Linked DNA regions of Mus musculus: all the other regions are reported to be linked to region 1. Evidence: microRNA targets listed by miRTarBase, many of them from high-throughput screens and not tested one by one. Region 1 holds a microRNA gene; each other region holds the end of a gene's coding sequence.
Evidence for each region. Region 1 holds the annotated microRNA mmu-miR-139-5p (UCUACAGUGCACGUGUCUCCAG, at 4,711-4,732, shown strand). A microRNA usually pairs through its seed, bases 2 to 8, with sites in the 3' UTR of a target mRNA and lowers its output. Matches are read on the target gene's strand: a 7mer-m8 pairs with bases 2 to 8, a 7mer-A1 pairs with bases 2 to 7 and ends in A, and an 8mer does both.

Region 1 (7,000 bases):
TCCCTAGTTGAGTTTCTACCTGACTCTGGGCCTGCTTCCTAGTACATGAGAGTTGGGTTGAGCTGTCTCAGAGCCCCCAGGCTGGGCTAAATGGGCCCAGTATCTCAGCTGCAATTCGTGCCCCTCATGGCTCCTGTAGGACATTCTTCCTGGGCCATGGAGATGGAGGGTTCAATGTTGGGTCAAGGTGGGAGAGTCCTAGGAGTTAGGGAATGGAGGGAGGGTTGTCCTGCAGGCCTCATCTAAAATGTAGCATTCTAATTCAAGTCAGAGTCCCTCTAGTCCCCAGGCTGTCCTGGAGGTGGGACAGGGAGAAAAGGGCCTGCAATTTGCTTGTTTTCTCCAAGGTCAGTGCATCTTAGCCATACATATTATCTCTTGGCCTCCAGAGGAGCTGAGACTGGAACTGGGGCCCTCTCTCCTCATGCAGACTTGCCTTTCTCGACTTGCCCAAAGGTGGTCCAGCCACCTACAGTCCACTGAGACAAACCTTGGTAGATTCTAGCTCTGGGGAAGGTACTGTTTGCTGATCAGACCATTGAAGCCAGGGAGGATGTTTGGTTGGTTGGTTGTGTGGCTGTTTTGTTGTTGCTTTTTAAGATCTGTTGAGCACGTGTGGCATGTGCTGGAGCAGAGAGGTGGGTCCTGCTCTCAGGAAGGCGATGGAGGAGGGGAGCCGTGCACATGGCAGAGACTCTGACTCTGGAGATGCCAACACTCAGCGACAGACTTATATGCTCATTTAGACACAGGACCAGACACCAGGGCATTCATGATCTCCCAGACAGCCACACACTCATGAACATAGCAGACTCAGTCAACCTTAAAGATACACATAGGGCCACATGGATACAGCGGATACATGGATACATGCACTTTGCTCTTCTACAGTTTTCCACAGAAGCATAGACCACATACTTTCACACCACAGATGTTTCTCTCATGACCCAAGGGACATATTCCGCTATGGTCATGTGATGGTCCTTAGGGACACACTATTATGGATGGCATGTGTTTAGGTCACCAGTAAAGTAAGAGCTCCCAGCTCTCCAAAGAATGAGGGGTAAAAAAAAAGCCAGTTCTGATGAATGTACCCAGAGTTTCACAACAAGAAAATAGTCTCAAATGCTGTTAAGAGTCTCCTTTGCAAAATAAAACTTGTTTTGCATTACCCAGAGGGTCTGAGGCTCTGGGAGGAGGGTATTGTCTTTCAGAGACCCCTGGCTCACCCAACTCTGGTGTGTATGGAACTGTGTAAGCATGTGTGTGTGTGTGTGTGTGTGTGTGTGTGTGTGTGTGTGTGTGTGTGTGTGTGTGTACATGTATGTCTGGCCCCAGCTTCCAGGCCCTGAGGATATGAGGAGGGAGAGTGGGAGAATTTCTGCAGAATCCGGATGTTTGTTCTCTAGCTTCTGGGCCCTCCAAAGGCAAATAAATAGCTTTGGATGCCAGCCTGCTGCTGGGTGGGGCTGGATGAGTGCATGAAGAGCCTGCTTTTGTCCCTGGAACCCCACCAGCTGGGATCCTGTACATCAATGCACAGTGACGAAGGTCCTGGCCAGTTTCTGCTGTGCCTCTCTCTGGGGATTGGTTCTCTCAGCTGAAAAATGGAGGTAGGGAGGAGGTGAGTCCCTTGGAGATTGAGAGAGACAATGACACTTGGGATCTAGAACAAATGAAAATAGGATGGGGGTGTGGAGACCTGGAGGGGATAATAAGAGTACAGATGCAATACATGGGGCCCCCGGAGCCTACAAGGTTTCCCCAGCAACTTCATGGTTCCCTGGAGGATGTGCTGGGTCCCTGAGGCCTAGCCCCTGCCCTGCTATATGTAAGGAGCAGGGAGAGAAGAGATAGAGATGAGAGCCAGGGAACCAGACAGGCTCCTGAACCAGGCCAGGGCTGGGCCTGAAAGGTCACAAGAGAAGAGAGGATACTGGGGTGTAGGAAATGGGGGGACAAGAGTGCCAATCTGAAAGGGATAAAGAGGGTCATGGGTGAAAGTCACCCATTGAGCAAAGGCCTGAGTTTGAAGAGACTGGGCAGAGAAATAACTCAAAACGTCAGTGTCCTCTGCTCTGGATGCTGCTCTGGAGCTGCCATGGGAAAGTTGCCAACAGCTCCTCCCAATCTAGGAACCCAGACCTCAGAGGAACAGGGAACAGGGCCACTCCACAGGGGAGTGGGAACTCGTGGGTCACACTTATGTTTTAGCAAAGTGCTGCACAGGGTGAGGGAGCCCAGAGAGAAACACAAAGACAGGAGCATGCCTGAGATGAACCCTCTCCAGAAGATTCCTCACACCAGCCCCCCCGGCACCCCCCCCCCCCCAGTAAAGAAGGGCTATTTTTAGGAACAATAAAAGTGCTCACACATTCCAGCAGGGGCAGAGAGAGTGAAAAGAAGGGCAGGAGTCAGCGTAGAGGAGGAATCTCTCCTCCCTAGGTTTCCTTAAAGGGTTTCCTTGTATGTTGGGGGTCTTCCCCGGCTGGTCCTGGCCTCGACAGTCCTGTCTCCTATCCCCTTCTGACTCTCACGTGTTTCCTTGTTTCTGAATTGGTCTCTGTCCCTGTATGTCTCATACTCCCATTCTCCTGGGATTTGGGGAACAGTTGGGACGAGCCAAGTTGTGAGGATGGAGCCAAATACAGTCAGAGGAGGAAGCAACATGAGGCTGTGGAATCGACATACACCAAAGAGACACACCAAGACAAGCAGACACAGAGGTCCCTGGGGAGGTACTGGGAGGGCTGGGGACACTCAGGACCAACCACCAGGCAGGTACCATGGGACACTTAGTTCTCTGCCCAGCACCCCTGGTCAGCCCTCCCTTCCTGCCCTTCTGTAAGCCATACATCGCCCTGTGTCAAGTCAGTGCCATTTAGCATTTATTATCTATTGTGGGCACAGGAGGGAAGGGGACAATGGAAGAGCGGGAGACAAGAGGCTCCACCCAGGCCTAGAGAGAGACACCCAGTCCCATTCCAACATTGGAGAGATGACAAGTCTATCCCTTGGCCAAAGCAGGACTTGAGAAGTCCAAAGCCACAGGAGAGAGGGCCTCGCCCCATGCCTTTAGGGGAGAACCTGGCTATTTTTTTTTTTTTTTGTCTCCTCTGACCTTCCATACACCCCATACCAAACTGGGCATCCAATGTCATGACACCTGAGGTCTAAAGACGTTGGTCTCATAGGAATTCCCAGGAGGACTGGGGTGGAGACAGGTGTTCCCCATGTAGATGACGTCCTTGAATAAGAGGTGCTGCTCACCTGCTCTTCCTGGGACCCTAGGCTTTTCCCACTTGGAGATGATCCTGAAGAGCAGAAGGTCTCCTGGCTTGCCAGATACCTTGAAAATGCTGTCAAAAGTTCTCAGGGAAAAGCATCCTCTCATTCCGTGGGCTGTTTGTCTACGTCTCTCATCACGCCAGACTTGGGATACAGAGACCGCCATTGTCTCCCCACCTGGGACCTCCAGGAACTCCACTTCTCTGCTCAGGAGGTCGCTGGCCTCCACCATTTCTGGGCTCTCATTGGAGACTAGATGATGCTAAGAGCAGAAGAGCTATGGGACAATCAGGATGCTGTCCTTTCCCCCAAAAGCTCCTGGCCTGATGGGGGAGCCAGAGAGGGCAGTGTGGCAAGGTGATGACACACAGCACCGGGAAGGAGCATCCATCAAGTTGTGAGGGTCCGAGTGAGCAGACCATCACTGGCTCTCTCACCCACCCACTCTTGTCTGACCATATCTTTTCCTTTGGCATACTTCCCTTCCTGACACTGGTCCAGCTAGTCACTCGACATTCCTTTCTCCTGAGTGGACCATTATGTCTGACTTGCAGAGGCTTCTAGGCTTGCTGGGTCAAGCTCTGGTCCTATCTCCAAGGCCACATGAGAGGTGGGGTCGTAGACATTCAGGCTCATAGAAACCGGAGCAGGAGGCCAGCCAGTTCACCGAGACCCTTTCTCGGGGTATTGATTCCCAGAGTCTCTTCTTTCTTGTACACCCTGGGGAACAGTGTACCCAAGCTTCCTTGATGCCAAAACATCTCCCCAGACACAGCTCTGAGTCACAGATACTCACCACAGTCCCCAGTGACTGTCCCACTGTATTCAATTCAACTCTCATGGTCACAGAGGCAGGAAGGTTAGAGACCACAGGAAACCAAGATGACGGGAATTGTGAGGAGACTATGGTGACATGTATGGGAGCTGGGCCTTACTGGTTAGAAACCTGAGGGCTATGGGGACAGAGTGGTCCTACTGTGTGGAGGAGGCAACTGAAGATGGGTAGGGTGAGGAGAAGTCAAAGTCTGACCCAACTCAACTCATCTTAAAGCTTCCAGGCCAGGGCCATCACCTCCTCCCGATACTGGGCTCTTGTCTCCCTCCTCTTTCCATTTCCCTAATCTTTCCCTTCTAGACTGGAGAGTAGACTGTCAGTCTGAGAGGACTAACAACCCCTGCCTTCCCACCTGGCTGCTTCTCCTCCTTCCCACTCTCTATCACCACACTTGGCCCTGGATGGCTTTAAAGGGGTCAGTACAGTGGGAGTGCCTGGGGTAGAAGTTCAGCCTGGTTGGGGAGGAGTGGGAGGTCCAGGGGGGGACCAGCTATGGTAAGGGATGAGAGAAGCCAACAGTTGTCCCAAGGGTCCCCCTCAGGGAGTGGAGGTTCCCCTGGGAGGCGCCAGGACAGGCGCAGGTGTATTCTACAGTGCACGTGTCTCCAGTGTGGCTCGGAGGCTGGAGACGCGGCCCTGTTGGAGTAACAACTGAAGCCAGAGTCTTCGAAGGGTGGTGGGCTAAGGGGGAAGAGGGCATGGTGGGCAAAAGAAAGGGGGTGGGGGAGAGAGAAAAGGAGGACAAGGGGGCCCCTTCCTGTAGTACTTGGCTCTTGAGCTGCAGGTGGCTCCTTCCACGTGCCCCTGTGTCACCAACTCAACGATGGCCACAGCTCCTTTTCTCCTTTCTCACCCTTATGCCTCCTCTCCTTGGGGATCTTTCTTGTGGAGTCTCTTCATGTGGGGGTAGCATCCAGCTGTCCCCATGGCTACCCTCACTGGAGAAAGGATCTACCTTCCCTACATCCCGGTCTTTACACCCCTGTGCCTCTAAAGTGGGGTGAGTGAAAGGCACGTCTCAGGCCAGCAGCAGCTAGAAATTGGGGAGTTGGTAGTGCAAATTCATCAACCTCTTCCCAGACCAGCTGATGCAGAAATTCTGGGGTGGGGACAGCACTGTGTATTTCAACAGTCCTCCAGGTGACTCTGGGCCATGCCGTACTTTGGAAACCACTGAGGGACATCTGCAACCACAATCAGTACCTGAGAAAGGTACCTTCCCTTCCCCATAGCCAGAGTCACTCAGGGCTTATGAGGTGGCTCACTTGGCATCTGGGTTGCCCAACATCACCTAGTCTCTTTCCTTTCCTTTTGCTTCTGGCCCAGCTCAGCCTTGCTACTGGGAAGTCGTGGATGCAAGTGTTAGCACACACAAGCAGCTCTTGTAATATTTTCAGGTGACAGGTCTGTTAGAAACAGCTCTTTGGGCAGGTGGCAGGCGTGGGCGGTGGGGAGGGAAAGGAGCCACCTTCTCCTGCTTCCTCTGTTTTCTGCCTTGTGTCTGGGCAGCTGTGAAGAGCCAGAGAGGAAAACTGGGCTTCTGGACTTGGGCTTGGGCTAGGGACTTTCCTATTCTGAGTTTCAAGGAGTCCTCTTAAATAGTTATACTAAGTAACCTAGCTCTGGCTAATGGAGGTGTGCCCTGGGCATGGAGATAGATGCACTCCCCATTCTCCAGGAAAGATTAGGAAATGTGTGCATTGCTCTCCAGAACAAGAGGATGGAGACAGAGAGGGGGGCAGGTGGCATCTGCTCCAGGCTCCTGGTTTTCCCTACCGTGACCACTTTCTGGCACCTCTATTCATGGCTGCATTCTGTCTGTTGATGTTCTCCCCCCATGTTCTCAGGATGATTTCTTGGAGATCTGGGGGAGGAGTGGGCAGGAGAGACAGGAGTGATTGGGGTGGGGATATGCAGGAAAGAGAAGGAGGGTGGGCAGAGAAGCCTTCCCGGAGAGAGAGCCAGGATGTGGAGGTGGAAATGACATGGCAAGACAGGAGAGCAGTGTGTGACAGATGGACATCGCCTAGGGTATGATGGGGAGAGGCAGAGAAGCACTCGGAGGGACCAGAAGAGCCTGACCCAGAGGGATGGAAAAAAGCAGACAGGCAGAGGAGCTCCCAGGGAATCTCCCTTTGGAGGAAGATATCAGATTCCAGTCTGTGAGGTCAGCCCCTAACCTCAGGCCAGGAGGAGACACAGAGCAAGATGGATCGGCAGAAATGGTTCCAGGGTACAGTTTGGTTCTTACTCTGGAGTCCCATGTTATTACTTTCTTGTAGGGAGTCCAGGTGCCAGCAGCAGGGCGAGCAGATGGCAGGTTTGTGAGTTAGGAAAGTCATGGAGGGTTATAGATGCAGAATAAGACAGCATCTTCTGTCAGTGACCCCTTACTCAAGGCCATCTGTCCCTAAGGATGGCCCCAAAGGAGAGAAGACCAAAATTTCTGGTTTCATATGATCTTAGGAAGGAGTTAGAAGCAATTCAATCTGGGCCCTCTGCTCTCCCCAGTCGAACACACAAATGCTGATTCAGGCCCAGGTTTCAGAAAACTGGCAACCGCCCAGGTTTCAGAGAAACCCTGGTTCCAACAGCATTGTCCCCTTTCATGGTATCTAGGGAGAAAGACCAGCACACAGGAATGGCGCTGTCTGCGGTGCTGATGGCAGTCTCAGCCCACAGCAGCAGGTAGAGAGCCGCAGGTAAGGGAGCTGCAGAGAGCAAAAGAACTCTGTCCATTCTTCCACCTACTGTCCACAGACTACCACTGACCCTCCACCTATTTTCCTACCCACCCACCCACCCACCTACCCACCTGCCTCCCCTCCATTTCCTATCTCTTTACCCATTTGTCCACCCACCCACCCATTTCCCTTT
Region 2 (7,704 bases), not on the chromosome of region 1:
GAGCAAGGACTTCCCACAGTCTTCTCTTGCCTAGAGAAGGAATGACCCTAGGTTCAATCTCCAGCACCACCATTAACACACGTGCACACGTGTGTGCGCTTGCACGTGCCCTCGTGCGCGCGTACACACACACACACACACACACACACACACACACACACACACACACAGAGCAAATGAAAAGAACCCTGTTAGCAATTTAACTACAGTGCCTGTGTAAACTTGGTAGGGGCATAAATAACCTGTTAGAGCTCTAGGTTTCTCTTGACCTGAACTTCCTTTGATTCTTTAACCCTGTAGAGTAGACAACAAGCTCAGAGCTCTAGACACACAGTTCAAAGAACTGGACGTCACCAAGGATAATCTGACGCTTCGATTTGAACACCATAGCAAGACTTTGGCAAGCCAAGCAGCCCAGGATGAGATATGGACAGCAGCTCTGGCCCTTGGGTGAGCAGTGGTTAAGAAATCCTGGCTTTTGTGGCTTTGTGAGAGCTTTTAGTGGCTATTCCAAAACCGAGCTTGGCACGATCCCCACAGGTGTCGCTTGGGCTCGGTTCCTCCACACAGAAGGCGTTAGTCTGAGCACCTGTTTACCTGCCAGGCACTGCAGCATACACTTTCTGGGTCTCTTACCTGCTGTCTTACTGATGGGAAGGGAGTAAAGAAGTTCCTGCTCCATGCACAGCGCCCCCTATGGGTGGCCTGGGAACTTGGCTATGCAGTTGGTGCAGGTCATACTTCCGAAATTCGCAGCTGTTTTTTCTAGAGGGTTTACATTGCACCAACATAATCAAATGCAGCTTTTGTTTGTGCATGAAATGTTCCATTTAAGGAGCTTTGCCCGTTTTTCATAGGTTCACCTCAATGGAACTGAATATTGTATACAGCTATGTCATCGAGGTCCTTATTTGCTTGCACACTCGAATGCTTCAGAAACTCCCAGACCTGGTGAGAAGTCTCCCGACCTTAGCCTCTGTCCTTAGAAGAAAAGCCAAGAACAAGCATGTTAGGCTTGTGTGGGAGTCTGTCCTGCAGGAGTACGGGCTGCAGGAGAGGGATGTCTCAGCACTCTGTACCTTCTTCATTGTACATGGCAACAAAGGAGAGCACTATGCTGCCAACGTAAGACGGATGTACATCAAAGATGTTTCCTTCATGATCACCAACATGGTAAAGAACCAGGCTCTACAGGATGGATTGCTTAGAGCTGTTCAGATCATCGAGAAGGGGAAACAAGCACAGGACCCTGAAAACTCAAGGGCACCCCTAAAAGAGTTGATGCCCCCAGTTAAAGACTAACCTGTTACCTTTGACCCAGCAGTTCCACTCTCGGTCATTTGTATTTTTTTTCCCCCAAGACAGGGTTTCTCTGTACGGCCCTGGCTGTCCTGGAACTCACTCTGTAGACCAGGCTGGCCTTGAACTCAGAAATCCACCTGCCTCTGCCTCCCAAGTGCTGGGATTAAAGGCGTGCGCCACCACTGCCCGGCGGTCATTTGTATTTTAAAAACCAAAAAAATGCATAATTTAATTTTTATAGGCTTATTTTATAGCAAAAGTGGAAGGAACATTAAAGAAATTATGACAAATGGATACAATGTACATTGTGTGTGTAGCCATATTTGAAAAAGAAGCAAATATTTTATAATGAAGTAGAATTTGGGGTGTAGCCCAGAGTACATTTTTTTTTTTTTTTTTTGGTTTTTCGAGACAGGGTTTCTCTGTGTAGTCCTGGCTGTCCTGGAACTCACTCTGTAGACCAGGCTGGCCTCGAACTCAGAAATCAGCCTGCCTCTGCCTCCCGAGTGCTGGGATTAAAGGCGTGCGCCACCACCACCCAGCTACATTTTTTTTTTGTATGTATGAGGCCCTGAGTTCAATCCCTGATACCACCAAATACATAATAAAGAAATTTATATGGAATCATTACTCAGATTTGGTGTTTTATTTATAATGTTATATACAAAAAGGGGCAAAAACAATTTTATACACACACACACACACACACACACACAATTTTTTGTTCACGACATAGTTTCTCTGTGTCTGTAGCCTCAGCTGGCTTTAAACCTGGATATTTGCCTGCCTCTGTTTCCCAAGTGCTGGATAGCCATGGCTGCCCAGCATACCTATAATATCTTCAAAGGATACTGTGTATAAGTTTAGATATATCCACTTCTGCAGTGATACTTAAGTGATGTGGGGTTTTTTTGGGGGGGGTGGGGGTAGAGGACTAAGAATCTAAGAGTCAAAGGGAAAGAAATTGTTTTCACTGGCTAGTAGAACTTCTCTAGACAGGACATGACATCATTGTCTCGAATCAGAGAAGCTGTGATTGGCCACAGCACAGGGTCATGAGATCAGTCCTACTGCCATTTCCTCGTTGATGGAAAAGGGAAATGCTACTTTCCCCTGAGTCTCCAACCCCAGACCTAGGCTGTACATACTCTTGCTCCAGCCACACCTAATCTTCAGGGACGCTAGACTATACAGGAGGTGGGACGCTAGACTGTACAGGAGGTGGGACGCTAGACTGTACAGGAGGTGGGACGCTAGACTGTACAGGAGGTGGGATGCTAGACTGTACAGGAGGTGGGACGCTAGACTGTACAGGAGGTGGGACGCTAGACTGTACAGGAGGTGGGACGCTAGACTGTACAGGAGGTGGGCAGTTGATTGGGGTTCAGAATGCAGTGGTGCAGCTTTGGGGGTCATCCCCACACGGAGGTGGGGATTTTAGATGGTTTGCCTTCAAGTCATCCATGCCTCTGTAAGTAACCCACACCCATGCTCCTGTAAGACCAATGAACTCATTGGTTCACCACGCTGGACTTGGTTGGAATCTCTTCTTTGGTCTGTCTTTGCCCTGTCTAGGCGAAACAGACATTTCTTTATATTTCCCTAGGAAGAGTCAGACTGCTTGCTCAATTTGAACATTTTGAATTTTGAATGCCTTTTGAAGGGCAATTAATCAATTGAAAGCATGAAATAATAGGGGTGGAGAGATGACTCAGTGGCTGAGAGCATGTATAGTTCTTCCAGAGGACCAGAGTTCCACTCCCAGCACCTATGTCAGTGTCTCAGCCACAGCTCCAGGACAGTCTTGCTACTTTCTGCCAAGCTTGTGGGCCTTAAGTCGTTAGAAAGGAAGCTGAAGACCTCAGTGGACTGTGACACAGAAAGAAGTATAAATGCCAAGTTGTCACAGATCTGAGGAACAGAAACCATAACCAAGGCAACTCTTTCTTTTTTTTCTCTCTCTTTTTTTGGTTTGGTTTTTCTGAGACAGGGTTTCTCTGTATAGCCCTGGCTGTCCTGGATCTCACTTTGTAGACCAGGCTGGGATTGAACTCAGAAATCCACCTGCCTCTGCCTCCCGAGTGCTGGGATTAAAGGCGTGTGCCACCACGCCTGGCCACAAGGCAACTCTTATGACAATATTTAATCAGGGCTGGCTTACAAATTGAGAGGTTCAATCCATTATCAAGGTGCCAGAGCATGGCAACATCCAGGCAGGCATGGTGCAGGAGGAGCTGAGAGTTCTACATTTTCATCTGAAGGCTGCTAGCAGAATACTGCTTCCAGGCAGCTAGGATGAGGGTCTTAAAGCCCACACCCATAGTGACTCACCTACTCCAACTGGGCCACACCTTCTAATAGTCCCATTCCCTGGGCCAAGGATATGCAAACCATCACAGACTCCAACTCCAGGTCCTCCTGTTTCTGCCTCTGCCTTTGCTACCTAAATGCCTCAATTACAAGACACACGTGTCCATGCCTAGTTCAGAGGTCCTTCCTTCCTTCCTTCCTTCCTTTTTGAAACAGAGTCTCTTACTAAACTCACTGTATAGACCAGGCTGATCTCTACCTCACAGAGACCCTCCTGCCTCTGCCTGCAATGTTTTGGGAACCAGCTGACCAATTGAGGAAGGGTCTCATATAGCCCAGGTTGACCTGGAACCAGTTATGTAGCCAAGGCTAGTTTATAATAATCCTTTTGTGACTACTTCCCAAATGCTGGGATTGATTATAGAAATGGGTCTCTTGTTGAGTTCTTCAGACTCCACATACCAAACCCAATAGGCATTTACTCATGCTAAAGTCTGGGGTAGAGGGCCCAAGCCAAGCACCCCCAAAACAAGAGGGAAAGCAATAACAGCCAAATCTCTACATTGCTGTTTTAGCCAGTACCATAAGGATATCACCCCCACCTTATTTAACCTTTACAAGGATTCTTTGAAACCACAGGTGTAACTCTTTGTTGCTGCTCTCCTTGAGCGTCACTTGTCTATAAGGCCAATATCTGCTGCTCATTCTATAAAATGCTAGTGTTGCAAATAAATGCTAAGAAAAATCTTTAAGGTAAATTTGTTGTAATTTCTTCTTTTAGCACTAAGAACTTTAGAAAGCTTTGTTAGGAGAAGGGTAGCCTAAAGAATACTGAAAGAATAATTACAAAAATTCCTGTTCGGATCTTGGTTTAGAGAGTTACTTGAGTAAGCAAGATTCTGCAGCCTACAGTAGCCGAGCGACCAAAAGCGGGAGGAGTTGCTACTAGCAGGCTAGGCGGGAACGCAGACGCAGCTCCCGGAAGTCCCGCCCGACTGAGCGGTTCCTTGGGGGAAGACGTGCCGTTTTGGCGGGGAATTGTGACGTCCGTGGAGCCCGGGTACCTGCTCCGGCCGCGGCCAGTAGACCGATTGGCAGGACAGCGGGTGCGAGCGGCTGGGTCTCGGGACCCGGGGGGTACCGCGAGGTGTTCCAGAAGCTGGAGCGTGGGCACTGGAGGGCTGCCTCCACCGCAACGGCGAGACGGAAGTCCCGCGGCGGCCCGAGCCCGGATTCCGGGCGGTACCGGGTGCTCTGGGAGCGGCGGTGCCCGGGCTTCCGGCTCTGGCAAGCCCGGCCGCCTCGCGCGTAGAGGCGGGTCCTCACCGCGTAAGAAGGGGAGCTGGATGAGCGCTTGTGTGGCGCGGGGAGACAGAACCACTCTCCGCCCCGAGGCCGCCGACTCCCGGAGGAACGTTCTTTCATTCCCTTGCTGGACTCAGGGCATAACTGTTGACCTGACATCACAGCTCCTGCTTGTCTCGGGCCCGTGGGAACTCAGGCCTTCTGGATCTCAGTCCGCTGCTGTGTGTGAGAGTAAACACCAAACGGCTCGCTGCTTTTCTCCGTTCTGGGCGTGATTAGGCGAAAGACGACTTTAGTCCCTTTCTGATTTTAACGTTGGGTAGGTCTCATTAGCATATGAAGATGGCTGCACCTAAAACCTCCATCCCTTCCTTAGCCGAATGTCAGTGCGGGATCTGTATGGAAATCCTCCTAGAGCCTGTAACCCTACCTTGCAACCACACGCTCTGTAACCCATGCTTCCAGTCCACTGTTGAAAAGGCCAATCTATGCTGTCCCTTCTGTCGTCGCCGGGTCTCTTCGTGGACTCGGTACCATACCCGAAGAAATTCTCTGGTCAATACAGACCTGTGGGAGATTATTCAAAAACACTATGCAAAGGAATGCAAGCTTAGAATCTCTGGACAAGAATCAAAGGAAATCAGTAAGTAAAATTAAGCATGTTTATTGGGTAAAACGGCCCAAAATCCCTTTGAAAGGGAACCATTTTTGTTTTTGCTTTTCGAGAAAGGGTTCCTCTGTGTTGCCCTGGCTGTCCTGGAACTCACAATGTAGATCAGGCTGGCCTCGAACCCAGAGATCCACCTACCTCTGCTTCCTGAGTTCTGGGATTAAAGGTATGAGCCACCATCGCAGGGCTCGAACCATCATTTTCTAATTTAAAGAAAAAGAAAAAGAAGGCTAAATAGTCTGAATCGTGAGGATTTGTGGTTTTATAAGCCCTGCCCACACATCAGTTAAAGTCAAGGACAGAGTTACATCACGTGTAGTAATGGTCAAGTTGTGTTCATCTGCTGTGAATTAGGGTTTTTTTTTTTTTTTTAACATTTTTTTAGACATGTTTTGAGACACAGTTTTATTACTGTGTAGCATGGGATAGCCTTAGCCTCACAAATACTGGAGTTGCAGGTGTGCTATTACACACCTGTCCTTTATAATGTAGTAGTATTAGTGAGGGTTGCCCTTTATAAGGGCAGAATGGTAAGTATTTTTGTGGACTATATAGTCTACTGAAGACACTTGGTGAGCTCTGCCACTGTAGAACAAAAGCCACCGTAGTCAATACATTAATTTACATTACCCTTTGTAAATGAAGATAGTGCCTGTGTTTCCATAAAACTTTATGAAAAACAAAAAGTGGGGGGGCAGATTTGTCCTGTCAATGAATCATGGCTAAATAGCCCCTGTCTTAGAATATCACTATTACTGTTCTTAAGAACAATTCTTTATCTGTGGAGGTAGCAGAATTAAATAATTGCAGATACTTCGGAAGGGAAAACTTGAGATTTCTTATTTTTTAAAATATGTATTTAGAGTGTGTGAATGTAAGTGCCTCATGTGCATGTGGTGCAGAAGAGGCAGGAGAACTAGAACTGAGTGACAAAGTTATAGGTTGTCATGTGAGTACTTGGAACCAACCAAACCCAGGTACTCTGGAAGAACAGTAAGCATTCTTTTTTTTTTTTGAGACAGGGTTTCTCTGTGTAGCTCACTCTGTAGAGACCAGGCTGGCCTCGAACTCAGAAATCCTTCTGCCTCTGCCTCCCAAGTGCTTGAGTTAAAGGCGAAAATTTAATTTTTTGTAACCCAATTGAAAGATTTTTTTTGAATATATAGTTCTGTTTTCAGGTGGCTCAAATATGAAAAGGAAGGCCCTTCCTCTTAATCGCCTTTGAAATATGAGAACATATTAGTACAAACTTGTAAAATGTATAAAAATAGTAGGACAAAAAGGTAGAAGTGTCCAAGTGACATCAATGGATGGATAAACTAAATGTACATATCTGCAACAGAATATATTGCTCTTTCATTAAATGGAATTGTTAAAGTTGTAATGTGGGATGAAGGCTTTGTTCTAGCTGTCATTACTCAGGTGATTCCATATGGAGAGCATTAACGACATCATTGGATCAGTCCACTGATAAGTTTATCCCAGCTGGGCTGTTAGGTGAGGCCTGTCTGGAGGAAGTATACTGGAAATGCCTGTGACAGGTTTGCTTTTTGACTGCAGTTGAAGTGGGCACCTCTCCTCTACCAAGCTTTTTCACAATCATGTTTCTGCCTTGCACAGGCATAAAACCATAAATGCAAACCTCTGAACGAGCCAAACTAAATCTTTTCTCTCTCAAGTTATTTATGTGATGCATTTTGCCATAGCAAAACACAGGAACACAATTGACAGGTTCCAGATCATGGAAATAAAGAGGTGCAGACCAGCCTAGCCTGAAATCATAACAGTCTACCTGTTTCTTCCTTCAAGCTAGGACAAGAGGCCTGTGTTACTGTAAGACCTGGGGTAGGCCACAAATCCCAGACGAGCCCCCGCATATAAGACCCCCCCCCAAGCTGGGCCTCTGCTCAAGTCCCCGGATGAGCTGGCCGGCACCCCAAAGACTCGAGAGAAAATCACACCTGATGCAAACTGCAAGAGGTTTTATTTTCAGCTAGCTGAGGACGAACTCCACACGCTGAGCAAGGCAGGGGAGTTCAACCCTGAGCGGTAACAGTAGGGGGCTTTTAACAGCTAGCTGAGGAATTGGGAGGAGAGTTCTTCTCTGCCAGGTGTCC
Region 3 (7,827 bases), not on the chromosome of region 1:
TTTATTTAGTGTGAGAGCTATGTTTCTGCTAAACTAGATAAATATACTTTATGTAATCAATGCAGGTCTATTTCTGTACCTTATTCTGGTTATGTCTGCTGATCTATACTGCCTTATTTTAACTAACATAATTACACATTCAGTATATAATCTGTTATGTTTATTTTTCAATATTTTCCTGGTATCTTTGTTCACTTATACATCTGAAGTGTAAAATCAGTTTCATGAGTTAAAGTGAAAGTGTCCTAGGGTGTATGTGGTTACTCACACCTGTAATCCCAACACCTGGGCAATGAAGATAAGGCCTAGAAAGGGAAGGAGGGAGGCAGCAAGAGCTTTGTGGGGCCTCGAATGGCAGAGGATGCAAACGAAGATGATGGAGGCAACCATTAAACACAAGCTGATGGCCTTGGATAGTGCAAAGCTTAGAATGGCACAGGAGAAGAACTGCTACTTGAGAAAAGGCTTCCTGGAAGCCACTGACCAAGGGCCAAAGATCATTCCCGACTGTTTGTCTCTGATCTAGTCACACCAACCAACCTGGCTGCTGTAAATGTCTGGGAGGCAACACTGGTCTGGGATGCCTTTTGGCCACTTTTAGAGGGGAACTGTTGTGGCTGCTTAGAAGAGGCCTCTGACTTTCTCAGGAGGGAAGCAGACACCTACCTGAGATCCCTGGAAGAGCAGAGCAGAACTGGAGCGATGAGCAAAGCCCCAGTGATCTGCACTTTTTGTCTTTGGCCCTCAGTATCAGCTGCCTTGTTGGTTTTTGATGCAGAGCCTTGCTGTGCAGTTCTGGTGGCCTCCACAGCTTGACAGACGTATCAACGTCAAACACATGGTGCTTTTGCTTGATTTTATAACAGCCACATGCTAATGTGTGGGTGCCTGAATATTGAATACTGTTTATATCAGTATATCATATCTTTCTATAGTCATATCCTCATTTGTGTTATTTAATATGAAGTTCTATTTGTGCAAGTTACACTAAAGTCTAATTTGTGGGTATCTCGCTTTGAATTATAACATCCTATTTGCTGACATTTTATGACTATATGCTATTTATCTGGGAATCTCTCTAAGGCACTGTGTGGCCTGTCTCAGTATGATACCAGATAAAAGTCAAATTACTAGTCTATTAATACTCAAAAGCAAATAAAGAGTTTAAAAAGCTCTGTTATGTAGCACCTAAAATTTTTATATTGAGAGAATTTCTTTTTTGTCAGAATTTCATTTTTCCCCCCACAAAGCGAGTGTTATATTGCAATTTGAGGCCCAAATGACATCACCTTTCTCTCTTAATTTTCTAAATAACTGTATCACCATTACAGCTGTTGATAAGGGACAGGATTACAGCTCTGAGCAACAGCTTTCTTAAGGTGGAGTTGGTCATCCATTGGCACCCCTGTTAGCTACTCTTTGGGGCCTTGTCTTAGTTAGGGTTTTACTGATGTGAACAGACACCATGACCAAGTCAAGTCTTATAAAAAACAACATTTAATTGGGGCTGGCTTACAGGTTCACAGGTTCAAAGGTTCAGTCCATTATCATCAAGGTGGGAGCATGGCAGCATCCAGGCTGTCATGGCGCAGGCAGACCTGAGAGTTCTACATCTTCATCCAAAGGCTGCTAGTGGGAGATTGACTTCCAGGCAACTAGGGTGAGGATCTTATACCCACACCCACAGTGACACACCCATTCCAACCAGGTCACACCTATTCCAACAAGGCCACACCTCCAGATGGTGCCACTCCCTGGTCCAAGGATAGACAAACCATCATAGGCCTACTTTCAAAACTTTGCATCGGAGGATGAAGACAGCAGAACAAATCCTTCTAGAAGAAAAGATCCCATGTTCCTTCATTTACTCTTTGACCCAGGAAGGAATAGAGAGGCAGCGCAGGGCTATAGCTGTGCTTCTAAGTGGATGGAAAGAACCAGAGGTGGGGAAGAAACGTCGCTGCTTCAGTGGTCAGCAATGCTCACCCAACGCAGGGTAACTTTAGGGATCTAAACTTCATAGACACAGTTCTTGGAAAATGATGTCAAAGGTTATGCTTTCCTCTTTGGAACATGATTCTCTTCAGGTCTTATTCATGTCAGATCACAAAAGATCCAACCATCCTTGACCATGTACGTACAAGATTAAAAATGTTACTGGGTTGGCAAAGGGGTTCCATAGACAGTCCCCTAAACATCACAGGCTATTGTCAAGGCTATTGGCTATTGATCAGAACTGAAAGGTAAGGCCCAGTCGCTGAAGTGACCTTTCTTATGTCATCAAACAGAGAAAGAAAGCTGGTGTGTGGGGCAAGTGAGAGGTGTGACTTGGGGAACAGGCCTGGGACAACGGTGAGGTTGAGACATGTCCAAACTCCCAAAACTCATCTTGAGACTGGCAGGAGTAAGGATTGCTTCTTTCCTCTTCGGGGCCTGCAACTCCCTCGTCCACCACCGAGGTAGCCATGCAGCCTGATAGCCGAATTACAGGAGTAATGTGCTCTCTGCCTACAAGGACATGTTCATCAAGCACCTGGAATTCCTCTTCATGCAAATGAAGCGTTCCCAGCACCGCAGCACCAGTTAATAATTTACATCCCAACCTGCTACCCACTCCCCAAGGTTTATATAGCCCTTATTAACCCCCTAATAAAGAAGCGGTAACACTGAAAACTCTCAGAGAAGGCTTCTTCCTCCACAAAAACAACCCCCCCACCATCGCCCCCCCCACCCCCGGCATTCAAGACAAGCGTGTTCCTGCAAACCCACCCGGCCTGGATAAGCCTGGACAAACCTGCTTATGCTTTCATGCCAGGCAGCTGAGCTACAGTGCCTGAACACACGGAAGGCAGAAGCAGAACTGGCCTGCGCTGGTGCCCAGCCAGAAGTCTCATCCCTGCTGACTACTGTCCACAGTGCTGGAAGGTACTTTGCATGTTGGAGGAGTAAAGTGGTCACTGGCATCACCTGGCTACAAACCCTACAACTTACAAACACGGTTTCAACAGTGGTGCAAGCGTTACGATTGGATTGAAGACTTTGTTAAGATGGAAGATATGCTTGGCACTGCTCAAGTGGCAAGATACCTGGGACTAAATTGGTCATAGGGCTAAGGGGAAAACCTACTAGAATCTTGCCAATGGTACAGAGCAATGAAATGACTCCTAACGACACACTGCTATACGCATAGATCAGAGTATTGTCCACCCCTCATCAGAGATGCTGCTTTGTCGTAATTAATTCAGAAACCCATAACTGAGCAATGGGCAGAGCTGGAGACCTCGGCGCACAGCCCTCAGTGGAACGTCTCCATTACCCCCTGCCCTCAAGACTTACGGATCTACGTGGAAGAGGAGGTGGGAAGATGGTGAGAGTGGTGGATGACACCAAAGAGAGAAGACCGACGGGCATGCGAACTACAGAGACTGTGGCAGCACGCACAAGACCCGCAAAGGTTAAAAGCAGACAAAATCCCAGCACTGAGAAGAGAAAGTAGGAAGAAAGCCCTACCTGCTACTAAAAAGCTATCTATAATTGGTATTTTCTGGGAAAGGGGCAATGAGTTTAATGAGTTTTCTCCAGAGGAGCGCTACTGGGCATGTCGACAATTCTAGTGGCAAGTACCATGAAAGGGGCAGTTGGCCTACACAAAATACTCTTGTGTTTTTTGTGTGTGACTTTTGGTACCTTTTTTGACCTTTTTTTTTCCTCTTTCCTTTTTTGTTTTTGAGAGATAGACCATGGAGTAGGAAGGGGGGATCTGGGAGGAATTATACAAAATACATTGTATGTAAAAATTTTTAAATAAAAGTTAAATCTTAGGGAGTTGAAAAGATGGCAGAGCAGTTAAGAGTACTGGCTCCAAGTCCAGGGGATTGGACACCTTCTCTGGCTTCCATGGACACTAAAGCCATGTGGTACACACATATACATGCAACACACTAAAATAATAAAAAATTAAAAATGTTAGTAGATGCTTATTTTATTTAGTAATTTAAAAAGTTTTATCCAACCCAGGTTTAAAAAATGATGACTCACATCAGAGTCCACTGCAGTTACAGTAACCCATCAACAATAAAAAACCAAAACCAAAACAGCTAAAACTCAATTAAGTCCATGCACTGACACGAAGAAGAATTAGTTCTATAGTTTGACCTGAAACCCTTAAAGCTTCCAAATACAGGATTTAATTTCATTTTGCACATAGACTAATTTATTCCTAGAAATGTCTAGTTATAGAACTCTTTAACAAGACATTTTCAGAGCTTAAAAACAATTTTACAGTTCTGAGTTTGGAAGAACACAAATCTTTTGATTATCAGGATGGAAGGCTATCAGTTGGTTTTATTTCCACAATACAAACAAGCTTTCATAGTATTGGATTTTTGTCAATTTCCTCAGTGCCAAGAGAATTCGCCAGAGGAAAACATGAGCACGGTAGGAAGAGTACGCACCGCAGGGCAAGGGTAAGGCATCCTGGAGAACTGGCCGCTTCGAGGTAGGTCACTCTGATCCTGGCTACTCCCCTCTCCAGGCCCACGTGCAGGCGAGGGTTGAAAACGGGCTGTGAAGACAAAAGCTACTGTGCTCGCCAGGAGTGATGGATATTTATTTTTTCTTTACATATCATCTTACCCTTTAAAGAAATTAAGCAGTTATAAAGTAATTACTGAACAAAAGTGCAGGGAACAGGCAAGCAGAAATTAGCTTCTAGGATAAAGACGGTCCCATTCACGCCTGGTGGGGTGGGAACTCAGGGTAAATAGTAGTGGCTGCAGCCACTCTCTGGCTAAGGGCAAACTTGGCTCATTAAATATATGAAGCATCATCTTCAATGCACGGCGCAGAAAACATTCTCTTCTCTATGCAGTGACAGGTCTTTCCAATAAAAACTTTATGTTTATATGTTTACATGTGGGTATGTACACGCATGCGTGTGTAGTTTTGGAGGCCACAAGAGAACACTGGAGTTGTGAGGTTGTGGGCTGCCATATGGGTACTAGGAACTGAACTCCAGCCTTCTGCAAGAGCAGCAAGTGCCCTTATCTGCTTAGCAACTTTCTAACCACTCGACTGATTGACTGACTGCCAAGAAAATGACACCTAGTGCTTAAATGCTTAATGCCAACTGAGGACTATAATGACCACCAAGGCAAAACTCCCAAAAGGCGTTTCCACTGTAAGCAGCTGGGCAGTGGTGGTGCACGCCTGTAATCCCAGCACTTGGGAGGCAGAGGCAGGCGGATCTTTTGAGTTTGAGGTCAGACTGGGCTACAGACCGAGTTCCAGGGCTATCAGGGATACATAGAGAAACCCCGTCATCTCAGAAAATCAAAACCAACCCATCAAAAACAAACGGCCGGGCATGGTGGCGTACATCTTTAATCCCAGCATTTGGGAGGCAGAGGCAGGCAGATTTCTGAGTTCGAGGCCAGCCTGGTCTACAGAGTGAGTTCCAGGACAGCCAGGGCTACACAGAGAAACCCTGTCTCAAAAAAAAACCAAAAAACAAACAAAAACCCCAAACCAAACCAAACCAACCAACCAACCAAAAAGAAACAAACAACCCAAACAAAACCTACAACAACAACAAAATTTTGCTTAGGTGTATTCAACCAGACCCCTTGCATACAAACAAGTCTGGAGAAGATCCAGCAACCGCGTGGGCACAATTCCAACACGCTTAGCGCGGCAGACTTTCTGCAAGCACCGTCATGGACTGGCAAGGGTCTTCTGACATGCCATCTGCGAATGTTACTTTATACTTATGGTCAAGGGTGCCCTGAGAGCCGACAGTTCTCCAGACGCAGCCGTGGCTCTCCCTTTTCCCTGAGACTGCTGTGGGCCCTTATTTGCTTCTCAGGTCTCCCACACGAGGACAGAGCAGCTTGTCTTTAACAGAGTCTGGCTCTCAAAAGTGCTAAGTAAACATCAGCGAATAAATAAATAAATCTCATATCATCCAAACCCTTGTTGGGGAAAGAGAAAAAAAAAAAACCCCTCTTACAGAATCAAAGGCAGCGATGGGAAGCAAGGAAGATAACAGACAGTCTCCATCAACCGGGGTAACGGATTTGATGTGAAAACAATAAAACCAAACAAGAACCCCTGCGTCTACCCCAAGTGTTGTATGTGGTTGGTCACTGATACTTGCGTGGAGATTTCTGATTCCAACTGAGAGTTAACAAGAAAGTGCACTCTGGAAGCCCAGAAACAAAAGCCGGGTCTGTCACTGCGCCAAACTGCACAGCAGCCTAGCACGGTCTCAGCTCAGAGGGGACTCTTCTGAGTACACCAGGTGAGTGTCCAGGGTCCCGTAGAGTGAGTGCAGCACATCGAGGACCTTTCCCTGAATCATGTCAACTTGTTCCGGAGGACAGTAATCATCCAGACTTGACCTGGAACCAAGCGGAAAGGGGGCAGAGCAGAGTGAGAACAAAGTCGCCCGTGTGGAGGCACAGCCAGTGCACTGCTGCCAGCGAGGGCCACAGGCGACTGTGGAGTCACGGCTGAGAGCAGGGAGATGCTTACCCCACTTTTGGTGCTTTACAGGAATTGTCCTTTATTGTTTTCTAAAATGATATTCTATAGGACAGGTATAATACTAAGGATTGGTATTTGATATCGAGATGGGACATTGCTAAGCAGACCCCAAGGCCTCAGACTGGTTGTGTAGACCAGGAAGGTCCCACAGTTCCTGTGACCTTCCTGCCTTTGCCTCTAAGTGCCTATCTTAAGCATGGCTACCACAGCTGAACTCAGGCCTGTATTGTTGGGTGGCAAGCACTTTACCCTCAGCCACCTCCCCAGATCACCTTCAGCAAGCTCACCATCTCCACATAGGTGAGAAAGGGCTGTATTTCAGGGTAAGGCCATTTTTTTTTTCTTAAAGCTTTATTTTTATGTGTTTGTATTGTATGTGTGAATGTGCAGCCATGTGTGCCGGTGTCCACAGAGTCTAGGACAGAACACTGGATACCCTAAGATTGGAGTTGGAGTGGTGAGCTATCCAATGTTGGGTGCTAGGAACAGAACTCAGGTCCTCTCCAAGAGCTGCCAATGTTCTCCATTGCTCAGCCATCTTTTCTGTGTGTGTGTGTGTGTGTGTGCGCGCGCGCGCGTGTGTGTGGTGGGGGTAGGGCCACGGGTGAGTGGGGTTTAAAACACACAGCTTTAGGAGAGGTCCTGTTCTTTCAGCATTCCTAGCACCCGGATACTACCTGCCTTCTTCACTGACAGCCCTGTTCCCCACCTTCAAAGACGGCAGGACACCATCTTCTAACTTTATCTCCATTGATTCTGCTATTTCTGGCTCCTCTTTCTAGGCATCCTGTGACAATACTGACTCCAGTCAGGTAATTTAGGATCATCTCATTTCAAAATCCTTATATCCACTGCACTGCAAAGTCCCTACTGCCACAGAGACAAGGCACCCACAGGTTCCAGAGAGCAGGGTATGGACATCTTGGATGGGCCACACACTTACCTTGCAATTGTCACAAGAGTAGGTTTTGGTAGACTTTTTAATAGAAAATACACAGACTGAATAAGATACTCAATTTCTTCTTCTGTGCTGATATGATGAGGAAGTTCTGAATAATCGCAAGTTAGCCCAGCCTGGTGGACCTGACAATAAATAAAATGTAAAATGATGCAATGAGCTGGGGAGACGGCTCAAGGGTAGACTGTGTGCTTAGCGTGCACTGCACTGGGCTCATGGTCCAGACTGAAAACAAGACTTCTAAAGGACATTCTAAGACTTCACTGACTTCAGACGACTCTAGGGACAATGGGCAGTGAGGGGACGGTCAGATCCTTGAAGTTCAT
Region 4 (7,718 bases), not on the chromosome of region 1:
CACTAGAGATCGATTGTGGCTTGGTAGGAGTCTGTGAGCTGGTAAGTCCTTGACACGCACATCCCCCCCCCCCCCCCTGCAGCTGCTGGACATCGCTGGGAATCAGCTCACAGAGGTCCCTGAGGGGCTCCCCCCATCTCTGGAGTATCTGTACCTGCAGAATAACAAGATTAGTGCCGTTCCTGCCAACGCCTTTGACTCCACTCCCAACCTTAAGGGGATCTTTCTCAGGTAGGAAGTCCCTGCCGCCCTGCTCTCATCCAGACAGCACTATAACAGTAGAGGGACAGCTGAGAGCTGGGGGAACAGCTGGCAGCTAGAGTGTGGGTGTGGAGCCTGGCTGAGTACACTGCAGGACCCCCACAAGCCCGTGCCACCTCAGCCCCCGAGAGTGAGCATACCCTGCCAGGCTGCAATGGCTCACAGGTCTGCTAGTGGCATCAGAAACATTCAAAACAAGTACAGGGTGCTGTTGATGCTAATGTGGTACAGGAGGAAGCCCAGAGAACATCTCACGAGTAACCCCCAGCTGTGAAGACATGGGTGACAGCTGTGTTCAGTCAGCCAGGTGGGGCTCAGGTGTCAGACCAAGAACACAGACGCCTGGGGCCCCACTGGGCTCCGGGGTTAGGACTTCAGAGAACTCAGACCTCACAGACTCTGGCTTCTTCTCAGATGCTCCCCCACCCCCCATTCCAACTCGACCCACTCAAATCAGAGAGAAGACAGAATAGAAGACAGGCCCAGGGTGGTGACACTGGGTGGTATGACCCGGCCTTCAGTGTTGGGCTGAGTACGTTCCTTACAGCTCAGCCAGGCCTTGCCTGTGTGCCAGTCAGATCTTGAGGTTAGTGGGGAAGGGCAGCAGAGGCATCTCTCTGCACATGAAGTGACTATGCATAGAAGGAGACATTCCTTGCCTTTGCCACCCCCTTCCTCCAAGCTAACGGTGTCCTGACAGATCTCTTTGTCAGGGGTGTACTGTGCTTCTTCACGCACCCCCTTCAAAACTTGCTGTAGCACTCCCAAATACCACCCCTCCCCCCTTTCCCCTCTGAGCTGGGTAGGTGTGAGGGCATCAGCCAGGCCTCCTGCCGCTGACCCATGGACCACCACTCAGGTTCAACAAGCTGGCTGTGGGCTCCGTGGTGGAAAGCGCCTTCCGGAGGCTGAAACACCTGCAGGTCTTGGACATTGAAGGCAACTTTGAGTTTGGTAATGGTTCCAAGGACAAAGATGAGGAAGAGGAAGAAGAGGAGGAAGAGGAAGATGAGGAAGAGGAAACTAGATAGGACAAAGTGACATGGATGAAACCCAGGTGGGTGGTCTGTGCGGGTGTGAAGGCACCTCTCACCACTCCCTGCTGTCCCTGACCTGCCTTGGCTTTCTGTGTGTCAACTTCACCCTGTCTCTGTTCTATCCCTTCATTTTGAAAACCTGTCATTTCGTTTGCATGCAGGATTGCACCATGTGAGGTGTGTGTGTGTGTGTGTGTGTGTTTGTATGTGTATGTATGTGTGTATATGTGTATGTGTGTTTGTATGTGTGTGTATGTGTGTATATGTGTGTATGTATGCGTAGGTGTATGTATCTATGTGTACATGTATGTGTGTATGCGTGTATGTGTGTGTGTATGTGTGTGTATGTGTGTGTGTGTGTGTGTGTGTGTGTGTGTGTATGTGTGTGTGTCTGCTTGCCCACAGAAGCCAGTTTGTGCTAAGGCATTTACTCTAGCTCAGGGAGATGAGTACTGTGCTGGGAGATACTCTGGGGTACAGAGACTCCTAAGTCTGGGGCTCAGAGGAAAGGCCTGGGCTGGAGATGGGAATCTCATCACTGTAGGCCTTGAGATAGGGCTAGATACTGAGGGGCTAGAAGAGCTTGTCTAGGGCAGGGAGGGAGGGGACAGCCATAGGTAGTTAATACATACACATACATGTAACACAAGCATCTACACATGTGTACATATATACATACTTTAGTCCAAGACACAATCATAGGCCCATATCTGTGTGCACACATGTGCCTATGGATATATGCATGGAGGTGTGTCTGGGTACCTATTCACACAGGCTTACATATGACCACACTCACACACACACTTAATACATTCATGGACTTCTCTAGATGTAGGGGGTAGGGGACTAAAACTGCTTCAGTACTCAGAGTCTGGAGGTGGGTACTGCTGTCCATAACTGAATGTGTCTACATGGAATGCTTGTGACGTCATAGGGAGCAACTGAGGGAGAGGTGGGGGTGGAGAGGATGACTGGGAAGGCAGGGAGTGCAGTAGCCAAGGGGAGGCCACGTAAAACTCAGGTAAAACTGTTTGGCACTCCTTTTGGCACTGGTGGCAAGGATGCTCATGGGATATGCTGTGGAGGGAGGGTAGTGCATTGAGCAGCATGGGTATGAGGGCTGCTGGAAGGATTGCAGGAGGTTGGTAACTGTCCCAGTGTGGAAGGAGGGCCAGGGAACTGAGTGGCTGCCGTCACAGTCAGGCTTGATGGTTGGGTCCCAAATCCCATCAGCCCGAGGACCTTGGCTTTCTATCCATGGCACAGAATTGGATTCCTTATGGCTGGCTTTTTGTTCAGGTTGTGGCACTAGGCTTGGTAAGAAGGAGGGGCAGATGGACATATTGGTAGCAGAGGCATGGGGAGGAAGCTGAAACCTGGGAGGTGATAGCAAGTGTCCAGGCAGAGAGCAGTGATCGGAAGGGCTAAGGTTAGGTAGGACTTCAGGGAATGTGCTGGGAACTATGAGGCCAGGGTGTGGCCATGGCCACAGTGAGGATATTGACTTGAAGTAGAACATGGAACAGAGGGGAGCTGGTAGTGGGGGGAGGGGGGTTGTTGATATATAGTGACAGCTATGTGGACGGATGATGGAGACAGGGTGTCCACTCATGAGAGCAGGATTTGTGACAGGGCTGTGAGCCTGGAGGGGCAAACCTGACTCCAAGGCCAGCCGTCGAGGTAGAGTCTCTGTCCTGAGGCACAGTCCTTAAAAGCCAGGGGTCGGCAGGAAAGGGTGATTGCTATCGCATGAGGACTGCTGGTTCTCATGAAAAGGACTGTGGAGTTCTGGGGTGAGGGAGAAGCTTCCCGCTTTGTGGAATGTTGGCCATGGTTAAGTCAACTGAATGGACTGCTGGAAGAAGCCCCAGGGAGCTCTGGATTCAGAGCTGGGAACCTCCTGGTTCTACACTCCCAGGGGCTCCTCCTTCTTCCCACTCACAGCAGCCTGGCTTCTGACACCCCCTTACTTTGATCCACTTCACCAATGGCTGGTTGTAGCTAGTCCTGACTCTCCAACATGTTCCACAGGACGATGGACTACCGGACTCCTTTCTGCAGCCCAGGCCTGTGCCCCATGAGCGCCCCCTTCTGACACACCCAACGCTGAGCCCAAGAGGCACCCGAAAGTCACACGGGCTGAACACAGTCTCGTGTCCCACCCCTTCCAGCAATGTGTCACACAGTCAGACACGTGCAGATACCACTTCACCACCACGCCCCCAGTTTGGCCACGTAGATAGCCAGCTGCATATGACCTTCCAAACTGGCTCTCTGCACAATCTCACACTGACACACACACACACACACACACACACACACACACACACACACACACACACACACCCTCACCTCTGAGTCCACACTGGCCTGGTAGACTCAGGCAGCTACCCTCTCCCCTATTCACTTACACAGAGTGACCTATGCTACCAAAAGCTCTTGCTTCCAGACAGCTCTGGTTGGAAACAGTTGGCCATGTGCCTTGTCCTCTGGTCCCTCCCTTGGAGACGCAGGGTTGTCTCCTTGCTCTGTGGCCGGGTGCTTTTCACTCTTTGAGACGCAAAAGCTGGCTTTTGTTTTGTGCCTTCCCTATGGGGACTTGAACCTTCTGCCTTCGACCACAGCCTCACCTCCTCCCCCCAGGTGCTGGGCACTCCTACTGCTGGGAGTCCCTTTTTGTTGTGCCCTGGCAGGTCACAGGCACTTTCAGAGAACAGCCTCAAGAAGGCTTGGAAGAGAAAGAGGCAGCAGTGCGTGGTGGGGGTGGGGTGGGGTGGTGGCAGCTGCGTTGGTCTTCAGTTCTGCAGGGAAGTTCTGGGTACCTTTGGTTTTGTTTAAGGAGAAAAAAAAATATATATGAAGATAAAAATCTCAAAGCTGATTTTTTTCCTGTTACAGAAAAACTAATATAAAGTATTATCCCTGCCCTTGCAACCATGCTGTGTCTGTGTGTGCTTCCCTCCAGGCAATGGGCTGGCATCTGCTCAGGGTGGGCAAGATCCAGCAAGCAGCACCCCTGACCAGAGGAAGGAGGGCCAGCACCAGGACTGAGGGGCTCCACGGGAGTGGCACAGACAGAGGAGGGGTGGGGCATAGTAGCAAGGCAGGAAGGCCTGGTGCGTAATATACTTCTGGGTGGACATCTGCCTTTAATGTTGGACTGCTATGCAGGCCTGCACATTCCCCCTGTGACCCCTCCCCCAAGCTGAACCTCCAAACAGATGACCCATGGGCCCTGGGCTATTTAGAACCCACCTGGAAAGTCACCTTTGCATGGAGGTACTGTTACTAATGTTACCGGGTGGTTTGTGCTGTCCAAACAGAGAGGTGGCAGAAGGTGGGTCTGAGGGCTCCTTCAGAGCTGATTTGGGGACAAGGTCTTTTTAGGTATTCCCAGGGACAAGGTGAGGGGCACAGCCACTATGCCACCCCAGTGAGAGAGAGCTGGGGTTGGACTGAAAGCTGTAGGGAAGTTGAACCTAGCAGTGATGTGGATCTAAATGGCCGAGGGATCTCTCTGCCCCAGAGATGTGTGGGCATCTGTCAAGTTCACCAAACTATAGAATCCTGCCTGTGGCTAGCAGGGGCAAACAACTCGATTCCTTAGGGGTCTCAGGGAAGGTCAAATAAAGTCCATTCACATGAAGGAGAAAGTAACTGGTGGGACGTTTGAGCTTTCCCAGATGGTCAGCAATCAACTGACGAAGGATAGCCATGTGGACCCATAATAGAACCATAGAGAGTGGTAGCATGGAGGGGGGTGGGGGTGGGGGTGTCCTAGATCTGAGGCCCTTCCTGGAGTCTTTACACTCGAGGGAGGAAGGTAGATATGGTTTAAAAGTGAGGGTGTGAGCTCTTGGGGAAGCCTGTCTCTTTCCTGGGTCTCATGTGCTCATGGGCCTGGTATACAACCTCTCCAGACCACAGAGTTATACCCCTTACCCTACCCCCACCCCCACCTCCAACCCCACCTAGAACAGATTGTACAATCTCTTTCCCTTAGGCTTTTTGGGCCAGGCCCTTCTCCAAGGCAAACCGTTAATCAAGGGCAGCTTCCTTCCATTGAGATTTCTTCCTTTTCTGAGGTTTGATTTCAGGGCCAGGGCCCAGACCAAGCTGATTTTTAAGCAAGGCAAGCCCTGCCTTACCTTACCCTGTCTCAAAGCACAAAGCAAAACACATAGTCTGTCACATCCATAAGTCTTGAAAAAAAAACAGACTTTTATTTATCACATTATCGCAAACATGGAAGGGACTAGGGACTCTTGTTCCATTTTGCCACACAAAGAGTTCTGACCCCAAGGTACTGCTAGTCCCTTGGCCGGAGCATCCCAAGCTGGGTCTTTCTCTTTATGGCCGACCTTGCCCACCCATCTCATGGAAGGCTGACTGGGCTGTACCTGCTCGGCTTCCCAGCCCTAGTGGACATCAGTCTCCATATTAGATGAGAGGTCTGGTGGACAGAAACGGACAGGCTTGTAACGTGTGAAGGCAGAAGGTCTCAGACCTGGGATGGACCAGACTTTACTGAGTTAAAACCACATGCTGTGGGCTGGAGAGATGGCTCAGTGGTTAAGAGCACTGACTGCTCTTCCAGAGGTCCTGTGTTCAAATCCCAGCAACCACATGGTGACTCACAAACCATCTGTAATGGAATCTGACCCCCCTCTTCTGGTGTGTCTGAAGATAGCTACAGTGTACTCACATACATAAAATAAATAAATAAATCTTTAAAAAAACCAACACACATGCTGTGGGGTGGGGCAGGGTTGACCTGGCCTGGACACAGCTGGGGCAGCAACAGGGACACTGTTGTTCTATCTTCATGAGTTGGAAGCTGTTGTGGCCGTGGGGACCTGGAGAAGGCAGAGCCTCTTTCACTGTTCCCTGCAGGCTGCCTTGTTTATTAGAACAGAGTGGCGGAGACTCCAAAGACTTGAATTAGCATCCTGGCTATGACTGTTCTTTCAGGGAGTGGTTTTAGCTCTCGGGCTCCCAAACTATTTTTCCACAAAGTATAGACAAAGACCCCTACCAGGTACCTTTGTGTGCTCATGTAGTAGAAACTGTCACAGCTAGGTTCTGGGCCACAAGAGCCATAGTTGCTGATGGGTCTCTGCACATAGTTGTCTCTTTTTTGACACTCTTTCTCATCAGTGACTGACTAGCCTGTCAGGGTGGAATGTGCCAGCCTGCGCCAGGTGTGTTTTGAGTTTAGCTCCTACCCCTTAGCCCAAACCCCAGGGTCTGGCTTGGCTCTGCTGCGGCCCTGCAGGTTCACACGTTGGTCTCTAGCTCACTGATCTCAATAGTACAGTGGTCTAGGCTGGCAGCGGCTGGATCCTCATCCTGCTCTACCTGGACTGGGATGTGGTGGGGGCACGTGGGGCCCAGGGTTAGCTCTGAGGCCTCAGCCACACTCTTCACACAGCCATTCTGCTGGGCAGCCACGATCTCCTGCAGTGTCACTGGCTTGGTCTCACAGGGTAGCAATTTCTGGAGAGGAAACAAGGCCTCATTAAACATTTAAAAGTGAGGGTGTGAGCTCTTGGGGGAAGCATGTCTCTTCCCTGGATCTCACATGCTCATGGGCCTGGTATACAACCCCTCCAGACCACAGAGTTATACCCCCTACCCTACCCCCACCCCCACCTCCAACCCCACCTAGAACAGATTATATGATCTCTGTCCCTTAGGCTTTTTTTTTTTTTTTAGATTTATTTATTATTATATGTAAGTACACTGTAGCTGTCTTCAGACACACCAGAAGAGGGAGTCAGATCTTGTTACAGATGGTTGTGAGCCACCATGTGGTTGCTGGGATTTGAACTCTAGACCTTCGGAAGAGCAGTCGGGTGCTCTTACCCACTGAGCCATCTCACCAGCCCTCCCTTAGGCTTTTTAAGCCAGGCCCTTCTCCAAGGCAAACCGTTAACCAAGGGCAGTTTCCTTCCATTGAGATTTCTTGAGGTAGGTAATGGTGCTGGGAGCTGCAGAAAGAGATGTTCCTATAAACACAGCTGGGTAGCCTTGGCAGGTTACAGGGCTCTCTAGGCGCCAGTTTGCAGGCTGCCTTGTCTCCTGCTGCCTATTTTGGTAGATGAAGGCCTTGTCTTACAGAGTCCAGTGTGGAAAACAGTAGCTTCCCTACCTGAACCCCAGCTTCCTTGCTGTGAAGAGGGTACAGACTCCTATATATACAAGCAATCCTAATTACCACACAGCACCCTGCTGCACCACAAACAGCTTACCCTAGGGACTAGGTTTCTTAGAGGGAAGATGTTTTCTCACTATTTCACTGGCTAGATTGGGGTGCCCTGCAGGGGGGTCCTCCACGAATAGGTGTTAAAGAAGCCAGTCACCTGCTGAGGCAAAGAGCCCAGAGCTGTGGAGGATGCGACCGACTGAAGGCTTTCTGGT

Region 2: miRTarBase lists Smco1 as a target of mmu-miR-139-5p. Seed matches in the 3' UTR shown: 7mer-A1 at 1,404-1,410 and 7mer-A1 at 1,756-1,762.
Region 3: miRTarBase lists 6030458C11Rik as a target of mmu-miR-139-5p. Seed matches in the 3' UTR shown: 7mer-A1 at 5,441-5,447.
Region 4: miRTarBase lists Slc1a7 as a target of mmu-miR-139-5p. Seed matches in the 3' UTR shown: 7mer-m8 at 5,989-5,995.

What each region holds. Positions count from the first base shown.
Region 1 is chr7:101,470,672-101,477,671 of GRCm38, forward strand. Mir139 (microRNA 139) reads left to right here and starts at 4,705; the gene lies at 4,705-4,772. All of the region lies in intron 1 of Pde2a (phosphodiesterase 2A, cGMP-stimulated), which reads left to right.
Region 2 is chr16:32,272,856-32,280,559 of GRCm38, forward strand. Smco1 (single-pass membrane protein with coiled-coil domains 1) reads left to right here. Exons shown (of 3, transcript NM_183283.3): 2 at 301-450; 3 at 858-1,926. The coding sequence ends at 1,302. Rnf168 (ring finger protein 168) reads left to right here and starts at 4,606. Exons shown (of 6, transcript NM_027355.2): 1 at 4,606-5,560. The coding sequence starts at 5,254.
Region 3 is chr15:12,804,447-12,812,273 of GRCm38, forward strand. It overlaps 6030458C11Rik (RIKEN cDNA 6030458C11 gene), which reads right to left. Exons shown (of 9, transcript NM_029998.3): 8 at 7,487-7,626; 9 at 3,731-6,398. The coding sequence ends at 6,266. Among named protein-coding and RNA genes, the nearest start is that of Gm41274, 9.8 kb to the left of the region's middle.
Region 4 is chr4:108,011,307-108,019,024 of GRCm38, reverse strand. It overlaps Slc1a7 (solute carrier family 1 (glutamate transporter), member 7), which reads right to left. Exons shown (of 11, transcript NM_146255.3): 11 at 5,496-6,794. The coding sequence ends at 6,576. Podn (podocan) reads left to right here. Exons shown (of 13, transcript NM_172874.4): 11 at 83-231; 12 at 1,121-1,318; 13 at 3,330-4,232. The coding sequence ends at 1,292. Among named protein-coding and RNA genes, the nearest start is that of Podn, 17 kb to the left of the region's middle.